Macaca fascicularis: one gene and its partner. The protein of the gene in region 1 purifies or fractionates together with the protein of each later gene. This does not show direct contact. Links are inferred from orthologs where the notes say so. Each region holds a gene or a part of one and is shown on either strand. Other genes may lie near its edges. The genes, in order: ANKRD17 and HOXB6.

Evidence for each region.
Region 2: the proteins of ANKRD17 (region 1) and HOXB6 purify together in Homo sapiens (co-immunoprecipitation; 3 studies listed by BioGRID and IntAct, with this or other methods). This does not show direct contact. The link is inferred for Macaca fascicularis from reciprocal best matches to the Homo sapiens genes ANKRD17 and HOXB6.

The regions. Positions count from the first base shown.
Region 1 is NC_088379.1:60,726,130-60,730,695, reverse strand, and holds the start of ANKRD17 (ankyrin repeat domain-containing protein 17), read right to left. Parts: upstream 2,918-4,566; 5' UTR 2,757-2,917; coding exon 2,352-2,756; intron 1-2,351.
Region 2 is NC_088390.1:58,121,588-58,125,246, forward strand, and holds the end of HOXB6 (homeobox protein Hox-B6), read left to right. Parts: intron 1-456; exon of another isoform or gene 457-488; coding exon 489-981; intron 982-2,035; coding exon 2,036-2,295; 3' UTR 2,296-2,926; downstream 2,927-3,659. UniProt on the Homo sapiens protein: Sequence-specific transcription factor which is part of a developmental regulatory system that provides cells with specific positional identities on the anterior-posterior axis.

The DNA of each region.
Region 1 (4,566 bases):
TCATCATGTTGGCCAGGCTGGTCCCGAACTCCTGACCTCAGGTGATCCACCCGCCTCGGTCTCCCAAAGTGCTGAGATTACAGGCGTGAGCTACCGCGCCCGTCCAATGGGTACACTTTCTTACACGTATTTCTCCTGACTCATCTTCATAACAAATGACAAACCCATTGTTTAATACCATGTAAGACAGGATAAGGTATGTTAAAAACATAGAAATACTACCATAGCTGGTCAAAGTCAACATAATCATTCCTATATTATAAAAGGAAAACAAACCTGACCCACAAAATAAACATACCTACAAACTTACAGCCATTCTTCATGATTTAAGGAATTACTAAAAAGTTCTGCTTATTAGGCTGTATTCCAATGGACAAAACTACCTAGGTATGTGAAGTTTGCAGCAGAATATCCCAGTGAGTAGTGCATTCAACTATCATAACCTGGCTCTAAACCAGAGCTGAATATTTTCAGGAGAATTTAAAATTTTAAGTAATGGTATTCTGCCTACAGCTGCATGATTGTGTTACCTTGCCATTCAGTAACTATTTTTCTGAATGATGTCAGAAGGGTGATAAAAGGAAATAAATTATCATTAAAAAGTGTACAGGTCTGAGCCATTAGAAAACTTTGATTTCTACTTTTGCTACTACCCACCACAACCACCTTCCTCTAAACCTTGTTTTCCTCCTTTTTAAAACAAAGGGTTGACTTATCTGTAAAACGTTTCTCACCTTTGAGAAGAATCATACAATTGAATGATTCTAAGTACCGTAACAAATTTTATTAGGGATAAGGATCCCATCACATCTTTCTCTTCCTTGTTTCACATGCAGCCAGAGCAACACACTATTCTAAACATCCAAGTAGGCCAATATAAGTCTATCAATATAAACCTATTCTCAGAATCCAACAGGCTAAAAGGGAATAGAAACAAGGAGGGGCATATTTTTGTCATGCATACTTGAACACTTAATATCTCTACCTACGTAACTTCATCCAGTCTGAGATAAAAGAGAGTCTGGTCTTCTACAAATAGACATGTGTCAAATCCTTTAAAAGGTACTTCCCTATTTCAACAGAGACCAGGATTCAATAAATCCAATGTTCAGAAAACCAGACTTGCATCAAAATAAGTTCCATGTTTGTGGAAGAGAATAAATAGTGTTAGTTCTAGACGAATCAGTTGGTCTCCTCTTAGAACTAAGTTTAAAATCAGTCTTCAAAGCTGTTTTCCCTCTGCTGATAAAGATTTCCCTCTCCAGATAAAGATTTTTCTAGATTCTATTTCAGGAAGGAGACAAGAGAGTGATAAAAGAGCTAATAACTAGTAAAGCTAACTCAGTTGGTTGTCAGTATGGTATGTTTTACTGAGCCTTTGGGTTGTAAGGGCTTCTATGAGGAATAAGGTCCTGCAACGCCGCCTGTCTGTGGACCCAAGAAAAATTACAAAGTTATTATGAAACCAGATCACTAGGACAAACCGAGAGGCCTTCCTATTCCAACTCACCACAACCAGGCCTGGCTCCAAAGCCGACTCTTTGGCTGTCCCATAGTATGGGACAACAGGTCCTAGCTTAATTCTAATTCACTAACGAGACATTTGAAGACATGTATGTACGTGTAAGGATCAAATATATTTTTCATCCACTTACAAATGTATATGGTCATTTATAATTATTTAGAGTTACTGATAAATGTATACAAATACAGCATCAGCTCATCGAAAATCCTTGGAAGATCGAGGAAGTGAAGTTACTTCAGCAGCCAGGATAGTTACGAAAAACCCTGCAGAACAGTATGGAAAAGTACAGCTTCTCACGTGTCCCTCACATACACAAACACTTAGCTCTGAGTCCATTACAACCTTACGTCCCCCTCAAACTGCTCCCCTCCATCTCACAGCTGGGAGAAGTTGAACAACCTCCTAGTTGGTCCCCAAGAGACTCATCTACCTATTATTTTACTCCTCCCGCTTTGATCCCGATCCCGTCCCAGACTAAGGTGGCCCTACTGGCCCCAGGCAGATCACCCCCCCCCCCCACCCCCCGGCGTGCAAACTGGGAATCTAACCAATTCCCTCCATCCTTAACCATGTGAGCCATGCCATGATAACAGGCTGTTCACCAACTCTGTGAACTCCGTGGTCCTCCCACCCCCACGTGTCAGCTACCCTCCCCCACATTCCCACACCTCACGATTTAGGCCGAGGGAAGAAAGGGGGCAGTCGAAAGCCTGGCCCCTAAGAGATCAACCCACTGGAATCTGTCCCACTGAAAGTCCCCTCCCACCTTCGGCCCCTATCCCTTACAGTCCCTTCCTCCCTCCTTCCTTGGAAACCAGGCCCTTGCCTCAGAAACCTCCTCTTCCTCGTCGTCGTCGTCCTCTTCTTCCTCGCTGTTGTTACTGCTGGTGCCGCCGCCGCCACCTCCGCCTCCACCGCCGCCTCCACCGCCGCCTCCACCGCCGCCGCTGTTGTCGCTGTCGCTGCTGCTTTCGCTGCTGCTAGGGGGTCGGCAAGTCCGGTTACGCTTGGCCTTGTGGTGCTGCTGCTGCTGCGGCTTCTTCTTCAGGAGCAGGTCGCAGACTCGCACCATCCCACGAGGAGACGAGGCCGAGCGAGCTCCGCTGCTGCCGCCAACGCCGCCGCCGACCTCCGCCGCCGCGGGGGGGCCCGCCACAGCCGCCACCGCCGGGGGGCTCCCTTCTCCTTCTGCAGCCGTCGCCGCCGCCACCGGAACCGTCGCCTTCTCCATCCCCAGGGAAAGAGGGAGGGCGCGGACGGGGGAGGGGCGTGGGGGCTACGCTCTACCGCGACTTCGGCCGCACTGGGGCCGACACAGCAATCGGTGCCGTCTCCGCCGCCACCGCCTCGGTCACCTCTACTGCCGCCGCCGCCGCCGCTCCGCCAGCTCTCACCTCGTCTCGCGATACTAAGGGCGGGGAGCCTGACGATGGGAGGGAGGGAGAGGGAGGGAGCAAGGGAAGGGGGTGAGGCGTTTAAGAGGGATACCGGGTGTCGGGAGAACCAGAGAAGAGGAGACTAGAAAGCCGGGGAAGTGTGCCTGGGGCACGTTCCGAAGGGGAACGGCGGGGACAGATAAGGGGGGCGCGATTGCAGCCGGAGCGCCCGCGAGCTCCCGGATTTCTTCTCTTTCCTCTCTATTTCCCGCACACACAGCCCTGCAGCCCTCCCTTCTTCCTTCCTGGCTTGTGATTAGAACGCAGCCGCAGGCGGAAGTGCAGTGACGCCATCAGCCGTCGCCTGAGCCGTGGGGCGCGGGCGGCCGAAAGGCGAAAGTGAGATTTCGAGGGCCGGGTCTGGGGCCCCGCGGGCGCGCTGTGCTACGATGTGTGGGGAGTACGGGGAGGCTGGAGAGGAGCCGGCCCCGGGCAGTGTGAGGTGCGGAAGCGCGGTCCAGACACTTTGTTGACGGGAGGCCAGTCAGCCAGATCCGGGAGGTGGGGCCTCGTTCTGGACTGCTGTACGTAGTTTTATTCCTGGTCGTTTTTTTCGACCGCCAAATCTAGAGATAAAGCTTTGGATCATGAGAGATGGCGTCGTGTTGGGAAAAGAGCCTTCGTTACCTAAGTTTAAGCTTGGCTCATAGACATCCTCTACGAGTTTACACGTGTGTAATATGAAGGCAGTCGATTAGGAGATGTCTAAGATCATTACACCTCAAGTTTACGAGGGGAGGAAGACACGGGAAGGATGCGTGGTCTGTGCCAGACTTTGTAGACGATTCTCTGAATGACCCTGATTTAGCTCTTCTGGCCCTCTTAGATTCAACTTGGAAGCAGGCATAAATAATGATTATTGTCAGTATGCTTCTCTCGGAAGGAATATTGTGATGGGGGTTGTGGGTTCATTTTTAGGTGTCTAAAGAACTTTCAGGACTTTTGAAATGATAGTGGAGCCCATTGAACTCAGAATTATCCCTTTCTGGTCTAGTGGGAGTATAGTGGCATAAGGAAAATGAAGCAAACATCAAAGACAGATGTACTGGCACAAGATTAAAAGTATGTCTCAGCTGACATAGTTGCCATTTTAAGACTGCTAAGTTTAGCTGAATATGCCTGGATTTTTTTTTTTTTTTTAGCATTTTTTTCTTTTTAGCATTGGCATACCATATGAAATGTGGGCAGTTGCCAGTACTCTACAGAGTACCATGGCAGAATTGGCAATGACTAAATCAATTCATTCAAACAAAAATTCATCATGTGCCTACTGTGTGCATAATTTGTGGAATCAAAGTCTCTGTTTCCAGGGGCTTTACAGTGTAATAACTGCTATAGTAAATATATATGCAGAGTGGTAACCATCTGCCTATTCCTCTCCTACAGTCGTTGCTGAGTCCAGTGTAGAACAAAGCACTGCATTGTGTATCTCACCACTACTGATTTAGATTTTATAATTTCAGCTGCATCCCTCCCTCCTGCTTTGTATATTCTTCAGCATCTTTTTCTCCCTTTCCACTTGAATACTTTTTGCAGTCTTTAAATCCCAGCCCATTTCATTATATGACTTTTAACTTAGAACTTCACAGTTTTCCAAGTGCTAGA
Region 2 (3,659 bases), on another chromosome or scaffold:
AAATCTTCTTTAGTTCTCTCTCAAGGAGATTCGGAGACATGTACCCACCCCTCCCTGGAGAGAAGGGGCCCAAGCAACGCAGGGGTTAACTTTTCTGAAAACACAATTAACTTTTTCCAATCCTGCGTGGGGTGGGGGAGAGATATATTTATTTAATCACCCAGGAGTGGGGTGGTCTCAATCTAAACGCTCCCTCCTCCCTCAAAGGCACAGAGCCTGTTTCACAGATCCTACGTAGGTGGAACAGGACGCGCTGTGTTGTTGGGGAGAGAGAGAGAGAAAGGCGAAGGAGAAGGAGGAAAAAAAAGGTTGATAGGTTTGTGCGCGGGTCCCTCGTGCGGGCTGCGCTCCTCCTGGGTGCTATTTGACAATTCCTGCCTCTGCCATTGGTCAGTGTTGGATCAGATGGTTGTATTTCCTTCTGGCCCTCACTGGCACCTCGCCATCCCCCCTCAGCTAAAACCCAATCTCGGATATACTACTAATAGGCGCGGCGCTCGGACTATAAAACACAACAAATCATAAACCCGGCGGAGCAGCAGCGGCCGCGCGCGCCTCCCCTCCCAATGAGTTCCTATTTCGTGAACTCCACCTTCCCCGTCACTCTGGCCAGCGGGCAGGAGTCCTTCCTGGGCCAGCTACCGCTCTACTCGTCGGGCTATGCGGACCCGCTGAGGCATTACCCCGCGCCCTATGGGCCAGGGCCGGGCCAGGACAAGGGCTTTGCCACTTCCTCCTATTACCCGCCGGCGGGCGGTGGCTACGGCCGAGCGGCGCCCTGCGACTACGGGCCGGCGCCGGCCTTCTACCGCGAGAAGGAGTCGGCCTGCGCACTCTCGGGCGCCGAAGAGCCGCCCCCGTTCCACCCCGAGCCGCGGAAGTCGGACTGCGCGCAGGACAAGAGCGTGTTCGGCGAGACAGAAGAGCAGAAGTGCTCCACTCCGGTCTATCCGTGGATGCAGCGGATGAATTCGTGCAACAGTGAGTGAGACTTCCCGTCGCCGTAGCCCTGACTCCCCTGGGCCCCCACCCCGGGACACAGAACTAGTGAGCGCCCCCTGCCCCAATCTCCCACAGGGTGCTGGGTGGGCATCTCAGTTAGAAGATAGAAGAAGATTGGGTGCCTGCCCGGGATCTCTCGCTGTGTCTCCTATTAGGCAGGAGTTACAAAGTTTGCAAAGTCTCAGCCGCACTGGGAGTAATGAGGAGCGAGTGTGCTCTCCTGGGGCCCCTGGCCAGAGCCGGGGTTCCAGGACAGGAAAGGGAGCAGGGGCCCGCAATCACGGGCTTGGCTTTACTTTGCGCCCCCAGCCCCCCTCTCCCAGCCCTGGTAGGGTTCCCCAACCAAAGACGGCTCCATTAAAAACGGAGTGCGTCATGCAAGGGGGTAGGAGGTGACGCTGAAGAGGAAGAGTTGAGTCTGACTGGGACTGTGTTTCCCTGAGGGTGGGGGGCTGGGGCAAGATGAGGCACCAGGAAAGGAGTGGTAATCAGAGGAGGGAGGAGGAATAAGGGGAAGGAAGAGAGAGGGAGCAGGCGGAGCGAGAGAGGAAGAAACAGGCGCGGGGTCTCAGGTTGGATTATTTGTTGGCCTTAAGTCCCAACTGATGTCCATTAGCCGGACTCGAAAGTGAGGAGCCGTTAATGTGGACTATGGATCGATCTACGTCATTACGGATTAAGGGCCTGGATTTATCACTGGGTTGGCGGAATGGGGGTTGGGGAGAAAGATGGATGGAAAGCCAGGGAAAGACAAGATGCAACTAGGAAGAGACACACCTGACCAGCCCCTCCCCCCAGGCTCAGGTGGGAGTTCAAACTGCTCCTCCCTTCCCCCATCTAGACTGACGGCACAGGCCTAGGAGACCAGGAGGGAATCTGGAGGGGGCGCTGGAGGAGTGCGAAAGGGGGGAAGGGAACCGGCAGAGTGGAGGGTATCCCTGTACTGGCTGGAGTCTGTGTTCGAGGGTCGACTAGGGGAGGGGGCCCTGGGCCCGGTGACCCCAGGCCTCAGCATCTCCACTCTGCGTAACAGGTTCCTCCTTTGGGCCCAGTGGCCGGCGAGGCCGCCAGACATACACGCGTTACCAGACGCTGGAGCTGGAGAAGGAGTTTCACTACAATCGCTACCTGACGCGGCGGCGGCGCATCGAGATCGCGCACGCCCTGTGCCTGACTGAGCGGCAGATCAAGATATGGTTCCAGAACCGACGCATGAAGTGGAAAAAGGAGAGCAAACTGCTCAGCGCGTCTCAGCTCAGTGCCGAGGAGGAGGAAGAAAAACCGGCCGAGTGAAGGTGCTGGAAAGGGAGGGAGGACGCGAGGGGAAAGGCCTGTGGGGAGCCGAGAGGGTCGGAGAGACCCGGGAAGGAAGGCTCTCGGGTGGGGGAGCCAGGAGACCTGCTCTCCAGCGCACGACAGGCGAGGCCCAGCTCTCTCCTGGACGCCCCCGCCCGCACAGCTCCCGGTGGGTGCTCTGAGGCCTCACTACTCGAGCCCACCCAGCACCCTGCGCGCCCTTCCTTCCCGAGGAACTCGCCTCAGCCTGATCAGGCTTCCTGGTGAGAACTGAGGATCGGACTCACTTGATGTTTCCTGGAAGCAGAGCAAAATGCTCTTGTCCCTGTCGCGTCTCATTTCGTCCATGTCCCCCATGCACGGTTCAATGGTAGATTCGCTGTCCCCTCAGCGGAGGCCTTGAAGACTCCCTGATCCCAGACCTGTCGTCTCTCCCACCCCCTCCCCAAAGCCACTGGAAGGAGCACATACTACCTAGAAGTAAGAAGAGGAGCCTCAGAAGAAAACAAAGTTCTATTTTATTAATTTTCTATGTGTTGTGTTTGTAGTCTTGTCTTAGCTCGGGACGTGAAATACTTCGATGATGATGATAATAATAATAATAACAATAATAAAGATGTGAAAACTCGACGCTGGGTCACCTCCAATCCTCCCCTGCCGTTTTTCACTCTTCCCTCAACCCCCAGCCTCTCCATCTGTCTTGAGCCAGAATTCTTCAGCAAAAGCGAGAGCCCTGGCCCGCTGAAGCGAGCCCTGTTCGACTGGGAAGTTACAGCTGAGATAAAGGCTGGAGCGATCAGTCCTGCCCAGGCCCCAGCGCTGCGTTTCCCTGGTGCTGAGGCTCACAGCCGCCTCTCCCCGAGCAGACTTGGGGGATGGAGAGGGGCTGTTTCCCTCTCATTCTCTAGCCTCTCCTCCTGTGTCCACAGCACTAAGGGAGCCACTGAGGCCCCTAAAGCTCTCTTGCGGAGACGGAGCCATCGAGTCTGGGGGCCTCTGCAGCACTTTCCTGTGCTCACCTTCGCAGAGACCCCTGGCCTTTGGCCCGTCCACATGGCCAGGTTTTTTTGCCAGCCTTGGCCCTCCGCTCCTGGCCTGTGGCTCCGGAGACTAAAAAACGGGGCCACTGGGTATCTCTCGCCCTGTAGCTGAAGGCTCCAGGTGCCCCTTCCCACCTCAAATAGGAGGTCAGCCTCAAGTAGGAGATCAGCCTCAAGCAGGGGAATGTAAAGCCACCAGCCAGGCACAGGCCGAAGGGCACAACTTTCCCTTGCTCCTTGGAGACCCCAGGGCAGGAGGCCAGGTGATGGGGCATTTAGTGTCATCCTCTCAACCGGGAATGGCCCATTCTCTCTCTGCTT